Linked DNA regions of Mus musculus. The protein of the gene in region 4 purifies or fractionates together with the protein of the main gene of each other region. This does not show direct contact. Links are inferred from orthologs where the notes say so. Each region holds a gene or a part of one and is shown on either strand. Other genes may lie near its edges.

Evidence for each region.
Region 1: the proteins of Polr3h (region 4) and Polr3c purify together in Homo sapiens (affinity purification with mass spectrometry; 5 studies listed by BioGRID and IntAct, with this or other methods). This does not show direct contact. The link is inferred for Mus musculus from reciprocal best matches to the Homo sapiens genes POLR3H and POLR3C.
Region 2: the proteins of Polr3h (region 4) and Polr3gl purify together in Homo sapiens (co-immunoprecipitation; 4 studies listed by BioGRID and IntAct, counting the BioPlex papers as one, with this or other methods). This does not show direct contact. The link is inferred for Mus musculus from reciprocal best matches to the Homo sapiens genes POLR3H and POLR3GL.
Region 3: the proteins of Polr3h (region 4) and Polr2f purify together in Homo sapiens (affinity purification with mass spectrometry; 4 studies listed by BioGRID and IntAct, with this or other methods). This does not show direct contact. The link is inferred for Mus musculus from reciprocal best matches to the Homo sapiens genes POLR3H and POLR2F.

The regions. Positions count from the first base shown.
Region 1 is NC_000069.6:96,724,345-96,729,065, forward strand, and holds the start of Polr3c (DNA-directed RNA polymerase III subunit RPC3), read right to left. Parts: upstream 3,096-4,721; 5' UTR 3,005-3,095; exon of another isoform or gene 2,769-3,004; intron 1,656-2,768; 5' UTR 1,637-1,655; coding exon 1,490-1,636; intron 57-1,489; exon of another isoform or gene 1-56. Other genes in the region: E3 ubiquitin-protein ligase RNF115, read left to right, coding at 3,465-3,566. UniProt on the Homo sapiens protein: DNA-dependent RNA polymerase catalyzes the transcription of DNA into RNA using the four ribonucleoside triphosphates as substrates.
Region 2 is NC_000069.6:96,591,087-96,595,749, forward strand, and holds the start of Polr3gl (DNA-directed RNA polymerase III subunit RPC7-like), read right to left. Parts: upstream 3,096-4,663; 5' UTR 2,998-3,095; intron 1-2,997. UniProt on the Homo sapiens protein: DNA-dependent RNA polymerase catalyzes the transcription of DNA into RNA using the four ribonucleoside triphosphates as substrates. Specific peripheric component of RNA polymerase III which synthesizes small RNAs, such as 5S rRNA and tRNAs.
Region 3 is NC_000081.6:79,139,534-79,144,419, reverse strand, and holds the start of Polr2f (DNA-directed RNA polymerases I, II, and III subunit RPABC2), read right to left. Parts: upstream 3,096-4,886; 5' UTR 3,006-3,095; coding exon 2,986-3,005; intron 1-2,985. Other genes in the region: 1700088E04Rik (UPF0193 protein EVG1 homolog), read left to right, coding at 3,437-3,539. UniProt on the Homo sapiens protein: DNA-dependent RNA polymerase catalyzes the transcription of DNA into RNA using the four ribonucleoside triphosphates as substrates.
Region 4 is NC_000081.6:81,923,020-81,927,732, reverse strand, and holds the start of Polr3h (DNA-directed RNA polymerase III subunit RPC8), read left to right. Parts: upstream 1-1,519; 5' UTR 1,520-1,836; coding exon 1,837-1,947; intron 1,948-4,713.

The sequences.
Region 1 (4,721 bases), on a different chromosome or scaffold from region 4:
CCATCTAGGCCAGTTCCCACCATGACAGGGCAGGGACTGAATTTGACTTGACTGCATATAGAATCTTACTTCCTCTGTGGGTTAGTGTAGCCAATGTCAGTGCAGGAAATCAAGAGAATTCTTTGCTGTGATGTTCCTATTATGTCTGATTTTTTTTTTTTTTTTTTTTTTTTTGGTTTTTCGAGACAGGGTTTCTCTGTGTAGCCCTGGCTGTCCTGGAACTCACTCTGTAGACCAAGCTGGCCTCGAACTCAGAAATCCGCCTGCTTCTACCTCCCAAGTGCTGGGATTAAAGGCCTGTGTGCCACCACGCCCGGCTTATTTTGTCTGATCTTTATCTTTCTTCTAGTTTTCTGTTTTGAATGTGGTTCTCCTGGAGCCCAGGGAAGCCTTACACTTGTTGTGTATCTGAGGGTGACCTTGAACTTCCCAGCCCCTCCTTTCAAGTCGTGGGATCATAAACATAAACACACCCAGTTCTATACAGTGTTGGAGATCAAAGCAGGACATTTTAGCTGCTATGCAGTGTGAATGGTCTTTGCTACTTTGTGGGTTCTTCTTTTTCCCACCCTTGATACTCCCTTCCCACTCCCATCCCCACCCGGGTTTCACCCTCTAACACTTCATAAGAGAGAAACAAGGAGGAATTAGGAAAATCCCTGAATTTAATTTCTTTCGTTTCTTCTTTGACCAACACTACTAGTAAATCACAACTTCCCTAAATGACCACCAACCCCCCGACTCCACATATTGGGGCTGGCATTTATACACACTCTGAAAAGTTCCCAGAATCCCAGACACTGCACAATCACAGGAACTATCTATAGCTGGCAGAACCATGCCTCTGCTAGAACATGAGGCAAATCATAGACAGTCTGAAGCAGCCCCATATCTGCATACTTGGGATTAAAATGAAAAAATATTCTTATAATATTTTTGTATTTTTTGTTTGTTTGTTTTTTTGAGACAGGGTTTCTCTGTGCAGCCCTGGCTGTCCTGGAACTCACTCTGTAGACCAGGCTGGCCTCGAACTCGGAAATCCACCTGCCTCTGCCTCCCGAGTGCTGGGATTAAAGGCGTGCGCCACCACGCCCGGCTCTATTTTTGTATTTTTAAAGAAACCAAAATCCTCAAACTGTCACTACAATGTAGTCACTCTACCAACTGAGCTACATTCTGGGCCAGGATGGGCAGCCCAGCTTACTTTGTTCTATCACTGTATTCCTTAAAGGCCATACCCCACCAGTAGACTTACTGTGAATAAATGAGTGTGGCATGGGAACAGCCAAGATGAGCTAGGAACACCACAAGCGGCAGTACACGGGGCCTAAGTACAATACCACACCCCACCCCACCCACTGTGGTACTGACCACAGGGCAGACGGTCTCTGTTCATACTTTCTAGGGGAAGGAGTTCTCCTGTCCAAAGGTACTTGAAGGAAATGATTGAAGAAGTTGAAGAGGAACAGACTCTCTTATCTAAACATACCTGGTCCAGGGATGCTTTTGTGTCGTGGGCAATTACTCTAAGTGGCTGGCTTCCAGTTCTGACTAGGTGGACTCCAATTTTTTCTACAATCTCACCAAAATGCTCTTGCAGCAACAAAGAACACAGTTTAATCTCTGCTTGAGTCATCGTTCTTAGAGCCTCAGAACTAGGAAAGAACAACAATATAAATTCACATATTTTTTTTCTAGAGGGCAACTTGACAATATAAATCAAACCCTCTATATATTAAGGCATATATTTGCCTTAATATTTATAAGTTGAGATCCTTTGTTCCAAGGATGTAGTAAAAACCATGCCATGAGTTCTCTTCACAATACTGGCATTGACATAAATAATCTAGCATCTATCAATAAATTATAGTATAACCTTAAGAGAGTATACTATGCCAACATTTAAAATGACTTCATACAATATAACTACCATAAAATATTCCTAATGTGTTGTCATTTAGTAATTGCAATGGTCAGATATGATGGTGTACACTGCCTGTAATTCTTGCACACAGGAGACCAAAGTCAAAGAATCAATAGTTCCAGGTCAACCTGGGCACAAAGTGAGTTCAAAGCCAGCCTGTGTTATACAGCAAGACTCTGGTGGGTAATACACCCACCACCCACCAAAACAAAGAACTAGAAAACTAGACATCAAATTTGTTTTCTAAAGCCAGGTATGGTGGTGCAAGCCTACAATTTCAGCACTTAGGAGGTGGAAGTATGAGGGTCAGGAGCTCATGGTTACATATTGAGTTCAAAACCAGGTTGGCTACATGAGATCCTATTAAAATTAAAAAAAAAAAAAAAAAAAAGGCAAGCCATCCTCCCCTATATATGCCATTTATTTTAATGGGAATATATGTGGTTTGTGGTTCCAATAATCTTTAAAGACTGGATTCATCTCGGTATGGTGGCTAACATCTGTATTTCCAGCACTAAAGCTAGAAGACTGTCATAAACTGAAGGCCAGCCTGGGCTACATAATAAATACCAAGCAAATCTGGTCCAGAGTGAGACCTTTAAAAGCAAAGGGGGAGGGAAAGTGCGAATAACTTTCTGTCACAGATACAAAGACCTAAGGCTCATGACCCAGTGGGGTACAACTTATTCCCAAGCCATAAACCACGACTTAGATAGATAAAGTAAAAAAAGAGCTTCTTAGGGTATTTCAATTAGGAGATGAAGTTATGTTCCATTGAGAACCATATTAAATTTTTACATCATGAGACACAAGCAGGAATGGGTGTAGTTGATTTTGAAATTACCTCCCTATCACAAGCTCCAACTCTCTCGAACCTAAATTTTTGTCCCTCTTGCCACAGTGTCGCAGAGAAGACTATTTCACTTAGCCACACACACGTCTTTGGAGAAACATCCTTAGACCAGTTGCCATCCTTGAATGCATTTCCTGGCTCCTCTCCCTTCATGCAAGTTTCTGTTCCGGACTTTGTTTCTTGGCCCTGAGTCAGGGCCTCCTCATTCCGGCAGCGTTTTCACTAACCTCAGGGTCGGGGCTAATTTAGAAGCTCCAAATGTTGTCCTCCCGAGGCCAGCAGCCTCAGCTCATGAGCTTCCCATCGCCCCTTCTTAGAAGTAGAGCACCATCCAGGCGGACGCGGAAGGGTCAGAGCACGGGCCGCTCTAGCCGACAGTGTCGGTGGTTTCCGGGGACGCTCTTTCTCTCCTCTCGTTGGGAGGCTGGAGGACCGGCCAGGGGCTGTCTGAGGTGCCGGCGGGCGGGCTCTCCTCTGCCTTTGGTGCCGGGAGGCGGGCCTCGGGTCGCGTGGCCGCTGGCGGGCGGGCCTCTCGGGGCCGGGCGGACTCACGTGACCCTTGCGGGCCTCGGAGCGGCGGGCCGCCCAGAGGAGGCGGCGACGGCGGTGGCGACCGCAGCACGGGAGGTAGCGGCCTGGGGAGGGACCGCCGGCCGCCCTTTCGGACATCCTCGGCGGAGGCGAAACATGGCGGAGGCCTCGGCGGCGGGGGCGGACGCGGGCTCCGCTGTCGCCGCACACCGTTTCTTCTGCCACTTTTGTAAGGGCGAGGTCAATCCCAAACTACCGGTAAGAGCCCCGTGTGTCCCGCGCTCCGGCGCCGCGTAGGTCCTTGGCTCCTAGGGCTGGAAACCGGGTCTTAGGCTGCCCGCACACCCGTGATTCCCTTGACACCGGTGTTCTCGGTACCTGCTGCCCGCTGTCTCCGGGCACTGGTCGCAAACCCTGGGCATCAGGGCCAGGGTCCTGCCTATCCCTCATTTCCGCGGCGTCTCCAATCAGCCCCTCATTTCGCTTCCGCTCTTTAATACCACCCCCATCTTTTTTTGTCTCCTCGGTGAATTCTCGGGCAAATCTGCGTCCAATTTGCTCTCAGTCCCCTTCCTTGTCTTTTCGCGATGACCTATCCCCTGTACTCTTTCCGTTTTTGCGGCTCACCTACTCTTTATTTTTCTTCCCACTTCTCAACCAGATCCTCCCCCCTTCTGCATCCTCAGTGAGCCGAAATAGCATATTGCTGAGGACTTCTTAGTAGGTTTTGTTGAAGTACAGAAAGAGGAGGTTTGGAAGGTAACAGGGAAGAGGGAGATTTTGTTCTTCAGTGGTTTTTGGGTTCTTGTGAAAGTGAAAATAGCAGTGTACCAATGACTTGCAGACTGCGCTCCCTGTTGCTATCGAAGGAAATGGCTTTGGGAAGAAGGTAGGACGTACTGTCTCAACTTATTTTGGATATCACGTTGCCAGTGTCTTTAGCTCCACTTTCCTAGCCCACCCCCTCCATTTTTTTTTTTTTTCTGCCCAGGAAAACAAAAAAAGAACAGAATGTTGGGACTGCTTTCTCTGATATAAAATTGGCTCTGCCAGGCTGTCAGCCAATAGAGAGGTAGGGCTATGCTTTAAGAAAAGGTTTCTGCAGCATGCTAGCCAGTGCCAGCGCCCCCAATTATAATAAGCCTTTTTCTTGTTCGGTGGCGACATTTCTTAAAACGAGTGGCTATGTCATAATTTATTTTATAATCACAGTATCTTGAATACATGGTGTCTTTCTGTTTTTTGTTTGCTTTTTGCACCAAAGTCTCACCATGTTGTCCTGGCTGTCCTGGAACTTGCTTATTCGGATCAGGCTGGCCTAGAGCTCACAGAGGTCTGTCTGCTTCTGCCTTCCTAGGGTTGGGATTAAAAGTGTGCACCGCCATTCCTGGCTTTGAATACACTCTTAAGAGA
Region 2 (4,663 bases), on a different chromosome or scaffold from region 4:
AAAAAAGAAGAAAAAGAAGGCTAAGGCAGAAAGTGGTCAGTCTGAGGTATCTATGGAGTTCCAGGTCAGCCTGGGCTACTACATAGTGAAACCTTGTTTCAAACAACAAATTCTGAAATGATATAAGTGGTCTAATAATAGATGATAAAAACCACAAACCAAAAACAGCCTGGTTTTAATCCCAGCACTCAGGAGGCAGAAGCAGGCAGAAATCTAGAGTTTGAGGCCAGCCTGGTCTACAGAGTGAGTTCCAGGACAGCCAAGGCTACACAGAGAAACAGACTGTCTAGAAAAACCAAAAACCAAACCAAAACAAAGGTGGAGAGATGCCTCAGTGGTTAAGAGCACTGACTGCTCTTCCAGAGGTCCTGAGTTCAACTCCCAGCAACCACATGGTGGCTCACAACCATCTGTAATGGGATCTGATGCCCTCTTCGGGTGTCTGAAAAACAGCTACAGTGAGCTCACATAAATATAATAAGTGCATCTTTAAAAAACAAAACAAAAAAGCAAAACCCAACAACAACAACAACATCCAGAACAAATAACAAAAACCCCCAAACAAGCCATTTTCAAGGGAGGAGGTTAATAATATGGAGTGTTTAGGGGTGAAGGAGACTACAATATAAAGTCATATTTATCTGTTGTTGTTGTTTTTTTAATGTTTTCATTCTTGATACAAAATTGAATTTATAGTGTGGCTCTATTTACTTATAAAACAAAAAGTTTTGCATATATACAGAATAAACTGAGAGTACATATGTCTAAATACTAGTATCAGGGGCAGGCAAGATGGCTCAGCAGATAAAGTCAGTGCCAGTCCAAGAACCTGAGTCCCATCCCTGGAACCAACTAAGGTGCAAGGGAGACATAACCTTACAAAGCTGTCCTCTGACGCTGACATGCATGCGGTGGCACCAGTGTGCAAGTACATAAAATAACAATAAAGTTTAAAGTTGTAAAATACTAATTACCATCATTATTACCTTAGGGCTATGAAATAATGCACACTCTTATATTACTATGTGTTTGAAAGTTGTGTGGAATAAATGTATATCCTACAATCAACAAGTAAAAAGGATGCTTCGTTTTCAAGAATGCAGGGGAAATCTGGAGAATGGTTCAGTGGCTCAGAGCACTGGCTGCTCTCCCAGAGGACTTGGGATTCGATTCCCCGGGACCCACACAGGGACTCACAGCTGTCTGTAACCCGTCCCAGGGAACCCAACACCCTTTTCTGCCTTCTGAGGGTTTCAAGCACACAAGTGGTACAAAGACTCACATGCAGACCAAACGCCCACCCACACACAAGAATTCAGAGGACGAGTGGGTGCTATAGCTCAGTGGTGGAACCCTACTTAGCAAATCACTAGGGCCTCAATTCAATCCCCAGTTAAAGAAAATAAGCAAACCCTCACAACAACAACAACAGCAACAACACACTCGCTTAGCAGAAAGCCTTGGGCCAAGCCTGTCATTCAGAAATTTCAATTCATCTTTGGTTCCATGGTGAGTTTGGGGCCAGCCTGACCTCCACATATGCACCATGGTACACACTCCACCCAGGCCCACTAATAATAAGTAAGTTTAAGTTGAATAAATTCAAAGGAAAAAGTGAAAGAGTGGACCGACCTGAAAAGAGCTAGTGAGTTCTCTTCCTAAAGATGCTGTTTCAGAGCTAGGGGTGTAGTTCAGGGGCAGAATGAATGCTTAGCATTTGTAAGACCGGACTCACATTTCTCAATTTAAAAGAAAAAAGCTTATTTGGGGTGCAGTGGTACAAGCCTGTTATCCCAGAAAGGGTGAGGCAGGAGGGTCATAAGTTGGAGGTCAGCCTGTTTGCCCTGCATAGAAAGAACTGGTTTCGAAAATATTTTCCCACATACTAAATAACAATTTATTGAATAGATGTTATCAGAGGGTTCATTGTGATCCCGGTTGTCTAGCACTGTGTCTGCTATGTAGTAGGTTCTCAGTAAATATCTGTCTTTTGAACATGTGTCTACAGACTCTGTGAGTCACAAAGACTCCCTTCTGGTTCTTTTTGTTGTTTTCCTTCTCTGGTCTGAGAATAACTATAAAACATTAATGCAATAAACCACCAGTTCAAAGACCCCTAATTATATAATGTTGTCTTTTATTGTTCCCTAATTATATCAGGAGTTTAAATTTGTCCTCCTTGACAAGAGCACTGGTTCCCACAAATCAATTCCACTCGATTAACGCTTACTGAACACAATGTATTAAGTACCCCAATCTGTCCCATCAAACCTTCCGTTCATAGAATAGAAACAGTGAAAGAGAACATATAATCCTAACACCGGGGGTACTGTGGCAGGGGGAATGCAAACTGGAGGCCAGTATGGGCTACATAGCAAGAGTCTGCCGATAAAAGCATGGGAGGGATGGAAAAAGTCAGCCTCGTGAGATGGTAAATACTCGTGTTGCCAAGTGGCCAGGAAACAGGCTGACTAGCTCAAGTTGTCCTCTGACCTCCTTGCGTAAGCCATGGCTTGTACGTACCCCCCCCACACACACACAAATAATGTAATTTTAAAAATTAAAGAGATTCCAATAGTGATAATCGGACTTTGTCAGGTCGGGGATCAATAAATTCTTCACGGTGGTCTAGGAAAGTGGTGGGTAGAGGGTAGCGGTTCAGTTGACTTGATAGGTAATAAGAATCTGTCAGGCTCTTGACAGGGGGCTAATGTTACGTTAATGGGTGCGGGAGAAGCTGGTACCATAGAAGAGTCTGAGCTACAAGAATGAACCTTCCTCTCCTGCTTTAATATCTGTCCCCAGGCGCGACAGCAAGCTGTCTCCGGCGTACAGTCAAGACAGCAGTGAGAGCCCGGGGAAAAAGGGGAGGGATTTAGAAGGGGGCTGATCCAACAGGCTGACAGAAAGCGTTATCTACGTCGCTGTCGGCGCCGAGGGACTAATTCGGGAAGTACCGAACCAAACCGGGTCAGAGCCACCAGGTCGAAGCCTTACCTGCCGTCCCTCCCCCACTCAGGGCCCACGCAGCCGCCAACTTGAAATTTGCTTTTCTTCTTCCAGCCCTCGTTCTAGGCCCGCCTCCCCGAGCTCTCCATTGGTGGGTTTTCCTGGCCAATCGACGAGAGCGGAGGCGGGCGAGGAGGGGAGGAGGAGGGAGCGAGCTTAACCGGAACTGAGGCTTGGGAAGTGGCGCGCTGAGACCTGGGGCTGCAGAATTCACCTCTTATGCCCAGACCGAACTAGATGGCTAAGATGTCCTGCTACTCAGAGCTCATCCAGACACGTGGCGGAGCCAGAAGAGGAGAACCGCTGCTGGGAAATGTAGCCCTGGGTCAGAGAAACCAGACTGCTCATCTGTTAACAGCTGTGCCTGCAGGAGTTCCCAGAAACACTCCAGGAGGTTCCCAACTACCGGACTCCAGCGCCCTCTTCTGGCTTAGGCCATCACACACACACACACACACACACACACACACACACACACACACACACACCACACACACACCACACACACACACACACACACACACACCACACACACACACACACACACACACACACACACACACACCACACACACACACACACCACACACACACACACACACACACACACACCACACACACACCACACACACACCACACATCACACACACACACACCACACATCACACACACACACACACACACACACACACACACACACACACCACACATCACACACACACACACACACACACACACACACACACACACACCACACATCACACACACACACACACACACACAGAGAAACACTCCAGGAGGTTCCCAACTACCGGACTCCCGCGCCCTCTTCTGGCTTAGGCCATCACATACACACCACACACACCACACACACACACACACACATACCACACACACCCTCTTTATTATTCTTCCTCAGTCACCAGCACTACTAATAAATAATCTTTAAAAGATTTTTTTTCTCTAAAGGCAGGGTCTGGCTACCCAGTCTAGGCTGGCCTTGAACTCTTGATACTCTTGACTCTGCTACCAAGCTCAGGCCCCAAATGCGGATTGTTGCGGTGTCTGAGAAGTGAGGGAGAGAAGGGGGCTTGGGACCAGAGCAGTAATTGGGGAGAGAAGGCAGGAACCCAGTGGGTTTTTTCTTTCTGTACTTTCCACTGCCCTTCAAGCCCCTTCAAGGAAAGAGGGCAGAATAGAAAGAGTCATTTTTTTTACAGAGTAGAAGTAAAGGGAAATACTTCAGGATGGATGTAAAACTAGGAGTCAGTCAACAAGAATATGACAGAGGTCAGAGAAAATGGCCTCTAGACTGGGAAGTTGCATGTGGATGACACATACTCCGTTTTTGGAATAGTATAAAAACATAGCTGTAGCGCTTTGGGGGAACTTGCTTAACCTCATTATCATTTGTTGCAGGAAGACAATAGTTCCCCCCTCATTGAGTTGTGAGGGTTGGAGATGATGTATGTATGCACATCTCTCGGCACACATCAATAGCTAATAAAAGTGGGTGATTTCCCTCCGGCTGTTTCTCCTCCTTTCCCAGGAACGTGACTTTTTGTATCTGTACTTGGTGGCGTCCACCATTTGAGTCCTCTAAGACCCTCGGTGAGCTTTCCAAACCCTTAATACCCATCCGATGCCCCCACTTT
Region 3 (4,886 bases), about 2.8 Mb from region 4:
TCACTGTGGTTTCCTTCTCTGTGAACCACGCCAGTTACATGTACACATGGACTGTTCTGGTCCGGGGACTGTGTGTTTAAGGTTTATTTTATCTGTGTGTTTGTGTATGTAAATGTACACACATACAAGTGCGCCTGGAAGCCAGAAGAGGGTGTGGGAGCCCCCGAAGCCGGAGTTGTCTGCCTGGTTTTACTCCCTGGGAAACCAGCCAAGTGTGGTTAACCTCTGCGCCATCCCCCTCGTCATGAAGACAGTTTCAGCCTCTCATAAGGACATAAGGAGAGAAATATAAACGTGCCAGGGTGGTAGCACACTCCTGTACTCCTAGCATTTGGAAATGGGAAGTGAGAGAACTAGGAGTTTGAGCCCAGCCTGGGCTACATAGTGAGATTTTGTCTCAAGAACAAAAACAAGTGAAGTGTACTTCAGGGCTGGAGCTGTAACTCAAAAGTAGGGTGTGTAGACAGCATGCATGAAGCCGCTGGCACTCACAGCACCAGCACACTACCAGCATCACCTCCCCCTCTTAAAAACAAACAAACAACACACCATTATTCTTTCCCCTCCTGCTACAGCTTAATTCCATATTCCCTTATGGTGGAGAAAACAAACAAACAAACAAACAAACAAAACTACATAAGACCAAGGTGACATTGCCATTTTCATAGCCTAAGGTCACCAGGCTTCTAAAAACATGCTTATTTATTGCTAACGTGCACATGATGCGTGCTCGCGTACAGGCCCACATACACCACCAAGACTCCCTTTTCTGTTCTCTCCTTCTACCAGGGGCTCTAGGGATCAAACCTAGGTTGTTAGGCTCGGGCAGCAAAACTTTCACCTTTAGCCCCTCCTCCATCTCATCAGCCTCCCGTGGTGCACAATGTCTGAGGGAGCTGCCCAAACTCGCTGTCTCCAATTCTTCACTTCCCGAGTCAGAGCCTCACCTCAGTAAGGCTTTCGCCACACCCTCAAGCTCCACAGCCATCCTTCCTGTGCTCACTGATCATCGCACCCCACAACCTCCCCATTGAAAAGTGTCTCTTTGGGCTGGTGAGATGGCTCAGTGGGTAAGGGCACCCGACTGCTCTTCCGAAGGTCTGAAGTTCAAATCCCAGCAACCACATGGTGGCTCACAACCACCCGTAATGAGATCTGGTGCCCTCTTCTGGTGTATCTGAAGACAACTACAGTGTACTTACATATAGTAAATAAATAAATCTTTAAAAAAAAAAGGGGCTGGTGAGATGGCTCAGTGGGTAAGAGCACCCGACTGTTCTTCCAAAGGTCCAGAGTTCAAATCCCAGCAACCACATGGTGGCTCACAACCATCTGTAACGAAATCTGACGCCCTCTTCTGGTGTGTCTGAAGACAGCTACAGTGTACTTACATGTAATAAATAAATAAATCTTTAAAAAAAAAAAAAAAAAAAAAAAGAAAAGTGTCTCTTTGTGCTGCCTGGCTGTCCTGGAACTCACTCTGCAGACAAGGCTGGCCTGGAACTCACTCTGCAGACAAGGCTGGCCTGGAACTGAGAGATTCCCCCCCCCCCCCCCAAGTCTCTGCCCTGAGTGCTGGAATCAAAGGCTTGCACCACCCCCAGCTTCACTAAGGATCTTTACAATGCTGAACCCTTCCCCTGGACAGCCAGCATACCTGGCTCCTCCCTCCTGCCTCCCACTCTGGGGGAGGGGATGCTTTTCTGGGTTCTCTTCCCCCCAAGTCACTCACTCACCATCTCTTCTCTGGTGGCAATCACTGCCCTGGTCAACGCCGTCATCTCTGCTTTCATTGCATTTTTGACTGTATTTTGTATGCTTGTTTTGAAGTCAATCTTACTGCACAGTATGTAACTCAGGCTGGCCTGAGACTCACTATGTTGACATCTAGTTCAGGACAATTCCCCTGCAGTAGCCTCCCAAGTGCTAGGATTACAGGTGTGAACCACCACGCCCAGACTCTGAATTCTGACTGATCTATCAGGACTACCATAGTTCATCTTCTCTCTTGATTAACATATACAGCGTATCAAGAAATCCTTTAGGTTCTATCTTTAAAATATATCAGGATCCAGGCATGGTGGCGCACGCCTGTAATCCAGTGCTCAGGAGGTGAAAGCAGGCAGATCTCTGTAAGTTTGAGGACAGCCAAATCTACACAGTGACTTCCAGACACAGCTAGGACTATGTTGAAAGACTCTGTCTCAGGAAAAAAAAAAAAAAAAAAGAACAAAAATCACCTGGAAAGCAGAGGTAGATGAATCTCTATGTTCGAACCACCTGATATAAGGTTATATTTGGTCTCCAAATAAATAAAATAAAAATATGTCCAGCCGGGTGGTGGTGGCGCACGCCTTTAATCCCAGCACTTGGGGAGGCAGAGGTGGGTGAATTCCTGAGTTCAGCCTGATCTACAAAAGTGAGTTCCAGGACAGCCTGGGCTATACAGAGAAACCCTGTCTCGGAAAAAAAAAAAAAAAATGTCCATAATCCAGCTGGGTCTGGTGGTTCATGCCAGATATATCAACACTTGGGAAGCTGAAGCAGAGGACTGTGTCGAATTCAAAGCCAGCCTTAGCTATATAGTGAATTCCCGGGCAGCCTGGGTTTCAGAGTGAGGCCTTGCCTCAAACAACACTAAACTTCATGCTCTCTAGAGTCTATCCCCACTTCTGCCACCTCTGCTACTATCACACCTAGCCCAAGCCCGCGTCTGCTCCCAGCCTTCCAGGCCATTCTCTGGGTTGCTTTTTCCTTCCTACTTCCACGACTACACAAGCTACACACCTCTGGCATTCCCTTCCAGAAAGAGAGCGCTCAGAGGACAGGGGCCACACGGACTGAACTCTCTGACCACTGTCCCCATTGCTCCGCGAGGTAGGAAGTTCTGAAGACTTCGCCCCACCAACCCAGCAGCTGGGCTAGCCTGTGCTCCAAGAGCCCTGCTCGCACCACGACCTCCCTCCTTCCGTGGCCCGTGCTCACTTGTCCTCGTTGTCTGACATGATGCCTTCTCCGCCCGGGGCGCAGAGCAGAGAACGCGCGCCTTTGCCCCTCGCCGCACCACGCGTAGTTTGCGCTTGCGCCGTGACCCAGGCGCAGTTACTTCCGGGAAGCAGCGGCCGACCAGACGCTAATGCGCGTGCGTGGAGGCGTGTCGCTAGTTACCATGGTAACAAGGAGCGATTAGTGAGGACGCTGACACTCTAGCTCCTTGGAGTTTCTCCGTGCGGAGGGCTCTGTCACGCCCAGGTCATCGCCTAAGGTGAGCGCTCCTCCCCGGACCGTCACGATAGGGACTGTGGTCACTGCGCTGTCCGGAGCCGAGGGGTCGGGCACCAGCTTCTCAGACTCCCAGGTTGCTCGTGATGAGAGGTCCGGATTGCGAAGCGTAACTAGGGCGAGTCATTGCTTCTCTCCCTCCTAGGGCCCTCCCATGGCTTCCCAGGAAAGGGTGGACTCGGTGACCAAAGGAACCGGGTTCCGCCGCTGCCGTAAGCAAGCAGGTTACACGCCGGGGACTTGTGAGCTGCTCAGAGGTCAGTGCATTAGGGGATCAACGACCCGAGCGGTGCGGTTTTTCCTTAAGAGCTTGGGATTCTGAAAGGTTCGGGGAAGAATCAAAGACCAGAGATGGAGAATTTTGGAATGGTTAGTTCATCTTTTACATGCACTTTCAATGAAGCCTATCTCCTCACTGCAGTGGGACCTTCACAGTACCAAATTCAATTCCCTTCACCAGGCTTAGACATTATACAGTCTTAGAGGTGTTTAGTGTCACCTTCTAAATGGTGAACACCACCAGGCAAAGAAACGTGCCTGTTTCTGCTCACAACTGTAGCTCCAGCCTCTGCTACATGAATGAGCATGTATGCACTTAATTATTCAACGACAAAAACCTAATGTGTGATTTGGATATTGTCCTAGGTACTAGGAATAGAGTGTTGAGAGGATTGCAAAGGACAACTCTTGCTCTCAGAAAACTGATAACACAGGAGGGTAACAAGAAAAATGAACAGGAGAAAATTATAGAGCTGAAGGTGTTGCTCAGTGACAGAGTATATTCTAGGCAGATGTGGAGTCTGGGTTTCAGCCCCAGCACACCATACACAAAAAAGTCTGTGTGTGTTACAGTTGGAGAGCTGGCTCAGTGGTTAGGAACATGTACTGCCCTTTGAAAGCTCATTCCCCAGCACCCATGTTAGCCAGTCACCAAAAAAGTGTGTGTGTCTTAGGCATATGTAATGGGAGGATTGCCTGAGCCCAAGAAAAGCTAGCCTAGATAATATAGTAAGAACCTATCCTTGAAATAAAATAAGGACTGGAAAGATGGCTCAGAGATTAAGAGCACTGGCTATTCTCAAGGACCCAAGTTCAATCCCCCACAACCATATCAGGTGGGTCAAAGCAATGTGTAACTCTAGCTTCCTATGAGTCAGTGCCTTTCCCTGCCCTCCACAGGCAGCCATACACGCATAGCTACACACTCACGCACGCGCGCGCGCACACACACACACACACACACACACACACACGACCTTTTATTTTTTAAGATTTGTTTGTTTATTTATTATGGATAGTGTTCGGCCTGCATGTATGCCTGCAGGCCAGAAGAGGGCACCAGATCCCATTACAGATGGTTGTGAGCTTCCACGTGGTTGTTGGGAATTGAACTCAGGACCTCTGGAAGAGCATCATATATGCTCTTGATATGTGAGTCATCTCTCCAGCCCACATACAATCTTAAAGGGAGAAAAGCTGCATATAGTGGCTCATGTCTTTGATTCTAGCACTCTGAAGAAAGAGGTGGGTGAGTCTTTGTGAGTTAGAGGCTTGCCCAATGTACATACCAAATTTCAGGACAGCCAGGCTACAAAGTGAGACCG
Region 4 (4,713 bases):
TCAGAGGTTCTCTTCTGATTCTCTCTCTCTCTCTCTCTCTCTCTCTCTCTCTCTCTCTCACACACACACACACACACACACACACACAGATGCAGGCAAAACACTTCATATACATAGAAATGTAAAACAAGTTACTTACTGATATTATGAAGATCATTGCTAATCAATTCTTACCTCTCCTGTCAATTCCCTGAAATACTTTGTTTCTAGAAAGGCACACTGTTGTCTTACATGTGTTATGAGACTGGGTTTCTCTGTGTAGCCCTGTCTGTCCTGCAGCTTGCTTTGTAGACCAGGCTGGCCTCAAATTCGAATTCAGAGAGATCCTCCTGCCTCTGCATTCTAATTGTTTGGATGAAAGGTGTGTGCCATCAACGCCCAGCCCAAAATGCCTTATTTTTTTTCTCCTCATTTTTTTTTTGGGTGGGGGAGGGAGTGTGTTCTGTATAGCCTTGACTATCTTGTACTCTCTTGGTAGACCAGGTTTGTCTTAACTCTCAGAAATTTGACAGTCTCTGCCCCTCCCAACTGCTGGGATTAAAAGTGTGCAGCAAGAAAATTTTTCTATTTTGTTTTTTTGAGACAGGATTATTCTGTTCAGTCCTGGTTGTCCAGAAACTTGCTCTGTAGACTGGGCTGGCCTCAAACTCTGAGATCCGTTTGCCTCTGCCTCCCAAGTGCTAGGATTAAAGACGTGTGTCACCATCATTGTTAGGCACCCCCCTTTTTCTTTTTAGAAAGAGTCTCAAACAAACAAAAAGTCTTTTGTACCTCAGGCTAGACTTGAATTCACTATGTAGCTGATCTGTGTTTTTTGTTTTTTGTTTCTTTTTGGTTTTTCGAGACAGAGTTTTTCTGTGTAGCCCTGGCTGTCCTGGAACTCACTCTGTAGACCAAGCTGGCCTCGAATTCAGAAATTCGCCTGCCTCTGCCTCCCAAATGCTGGGATTAAAGGCGTGCGCCAGCACTGCCCGGCCACAGGATCTCATTTGGTAACTCAGGCTGGTCTTGAACTTGCAGTGATTGTCCAGCCTCACCCTCTCTTGCGCTGGTATTACAAGCGTGAGTCTGTTTCAGCTGTTTAAGCTTTGTGTGCTGAGCTTTGGTGAGCATATCCATCAAATGCACCACTTAAAATGACATCATCCAGGAAGGCCCGGCGACCCTTTTCTGCCCACTCTCTTGGGTACTTTGTCTGGAGTAAAGACTATTTTGAACGTGTTAAATTTGTATTTTCAAAGGGTCTATCTGGCTGTTGTGCAAAAGAAAGACAATCAGGCTTGAAGTGCAGACTTGTCGCCTAGCAACCAGACTCTCTCAGGGGCCCGGGGTTGGCTTGCTTCAGGATGGGGCCCCGCCCTTTCGGCACTCTACCCCGCCCCTCTTCTCTCACTTGCGGGAGAGTGCTGGCGGCCCCGCCCACCTTCCGGCCCCGCCCCTCACGGGAGCCTCGCGAAGCTCTGCGACCCGCAGGGGCGGGCAGATGCTTCTTATTGGTCAGTTTTCCGGAAGCTGAGTTGATTTGGTTTGGCAAGCGCAGCGTTGCTGGACGCGCGTGGCTCCCGCGCGTGGTGCGGACGGAACGAGGCCAGGGTGGCATCCGGGGACGGGGAGCCGGCGCTCCTCCAAGGCTGGCGGGAGCGGGCCTCAGTTTCCTCCGGGAGACGAGCGTAGCTTCCAGAATTGGAGCCCAGGCCCTCCCGCGCAGCTCGGCTGCAGGTTTGGCTTGTCAGAGGCTGAGAAGGGACGGAGGAGGCTCGGGTCCCCCCCACCCCATCACAGCTCGCAGGCCCCCGTGCTTGGCAGCCTCTCCGGTCTCCAGAGCCCTAGCGCAGGATGTTCGTGCTGGTGGAGATGGTGGACACCGTGCGCATACCCCCGTGGCAGTTTGAGCGGAAACTCAACGATTCCATTGCTGAGGAGCTGAACAAGAAATTGGCCAACAAGGTACTGGGCCCTCGGGCTGCCCGGCAGTGTCCCTACCGGTCCCACTGCTAGTCTGGCTATCGCCTGGTTCACCCTTGGCCTTGCACACTTAACTTCATGTCGGGGTTTTTTTCCTTCGCATCCTTATAAACCAGACTTGGGTGACAACGTGTACACAAGGGAGTAAATGGGCCGGGCGAGGTAGTGCACACCCGTAATCCGAGCTTCTTGGCTATTGAGGCTTTTTGACGATCCTGTGTTCGAGGCCAGCGTGGGCAATATAGTTAGCCCTTGACTCAGACAAATTAAAAGCACCGAAGCTGCTGGCGGTAGCGCATGCCTTTAATCCCATAACTCAGGAGGCAGAAGCAGGCGGATTTCTGTGAATTCGAGGCCAGCCTGGTCTACAGAGGGAGTGCTAGAACAGCCAAGGCTACAACGGAGAAACCCTGCCTCAAAAGAAACAAAAAGCATCAGGATGCTGAACAGTGCTTGAATTTGCTTGACATTCGCGGAGTCACTGGTTCGGTTCTCAGGATTGCCAGAAAACAAAACGGAGAGAGCGTGTGTACAAAATGGGTTTGTAAAACAGAAACTGGAATATGCCTGTTTCCTCGTTCAATTACTGTGTTGTCTTGGCCAAGTCACCCTCTCTGGGCCTCGGTTTGTGTTATCTGTGTTGCCCACAGTGTGAGAGTAGAGGTGAGAGGATAAGCGTGCGGGTCTCTAGAATTGAACTCAGCTTTCAGCTTTAGAGGGAGGCAGCTGTACCGGCTGAGCCAGCTCAGTAGCCCCTTTCTTGTATTCATTTGGTTACTGTGTTTCCCTTTCTATGACTACAGGGGCCTTCTCGGACTTTCACTCTCTCCAATGGGAGACACAGGCTCTGCCCTTGTAGCCTAGTGAGAAGAAGTTGGCTTGAGAATGTCTTGTTGTAATGAGCTGGGGTAAATGCCATGAAGGACAGGCATTCACAGAGTGGGGAACAGGGGAGTGTCACCCGGGATGAAAGAGATGGGTGACTTCTGAGGAAACAGCCATTGCTCTGAGAGCTGATGGTGGGAAGACACCAAGTAATGCCTCGGACAGGCCTTTCTGTGAACTTTTCACTTTGGGACTGTGTCCAGGCTTTTGGGCCTGTCAAGCGGGTCACTACTGGAATGGATGTAGCAAAGTAGAGAGACTCTGTTTCGATGGTTGGAGTAGGTTGGGTGTAGAGCTGTGGAGGCAGTGCATTTAGCATGTGCAAAGGTCCTGAGGCAGGAGAGGCACAGAATGCTGGTGTAGCTGGAACGGAAATGTAGACGGAAGCCAGACCACAGAGCCCTGGAGGGCCTTATAGTCCAAGCTGTTCTTTACGGGTCGGTAGGATGTGATCTTCAGAGAGCCAGAAAGAAAGAGCGAGTTTGGCTTTTACAGGAGACAGGTAGTCCCTTATAGGAGACTGAGGCCCTAGGAGAAGGTACACACACAGATCTGAGGCTTGTCACATGGAGGAGGAGAGAGCTCACTGACAATCCTTTAATTTTTTTTGAGACAATCTCACTATGTAGCCTTGGCTGGCCTGGAACTTGCTATAGTCTACGTTGCCCTTCCAATCCCAGAGAACCATCTGCCTCTGCCACCCAGGTGCTAGGATTGAAGGTGCGTGTCACACCCAGTCTTAGTTGCTGCACTAGTGCTGTGAGGAAATACCATGAGCAAGGTGACAAGAGAAAGCATTTTACTGGGGGCTTACTGTTGCGGAGGTTGTCCTTCAGCATTGTGGTGGAAGCGTGCTGGCACACGTGGTGTTGGAGTAGGATCTGAGAGCTATGTCCTCCACTGCCAAGGGAGTAACGCTCGCCTGCTGTGGGTCTGTGAAACCTTAAAGCCCACTCCCACTGACACAAGAAGGCCATACCTTCTTTCTAATCTTTCTCAAGTTGTGTCCCTCTCCGATGACTTAAGCATTCACATTTATGGGCCTGTGGAGGTCACACTTAGTCAGCCATGACATCCAGGTCTGTCTGTCTGTGTCTGTCTGTCTGTCTTGTCTTTCTTTTTTTCTTTCTTTCATTACATGGATTTATTTTGAATGTGGGTGTATATACCACAGCACACATGAATAGGCCACGGCACAGCTCATAAGGAGAAAGGGGTCCTGGGATCTACCTTGACTGCTGAACCATTTTGCCAATACCATCTCCCCACATCTCATGGGACTTGAATTCACTTTACATCCACTGTGTAACCAAAGATGGCTTTGGACTTCGGATACCCCTGCCTCCCCCTCTCAGCTGCAGGGATTACAGGCAGAGATCACCATGCCCGGGTGAGGTCAGTTCACTGGATCCTGAGAGAGAAACCTCCACAGATGACGACTGCTGGGAGCTCTGCCCCAGCTCTGAAGTGCTCTAGTCCCTGAGCAGCTCTTGTGAGGGCTGTGGCTAGGGGTAATATTGGTGGTAGACATGTAGACACTGAGCCAAGTCATTTAGAACACCAGGGTGTGTTAACACCAAGCTGTGTGGGCTTCTGGTCTGCGGAAGTGCTTTGGCCACATATCCCTGTCTGTGTGTCTGAGGCGGTGTGAGAGTGATGGAGTTCTCAACACTTCCTGGCTGTGATCTGGGGCACAGACTTTGGGACACTGGGATGTGTAACTTTTTTTAAAGAAAGATTTATTTATTTATTTATTTATTATATGTAAGTACACTGTAGCTGTCATCAGACTTTGGGACACTGGGAAGTGTAACTTTTTTTAAAGAAAGATTTATTTATTTATTTATTTATTTATTATATGTA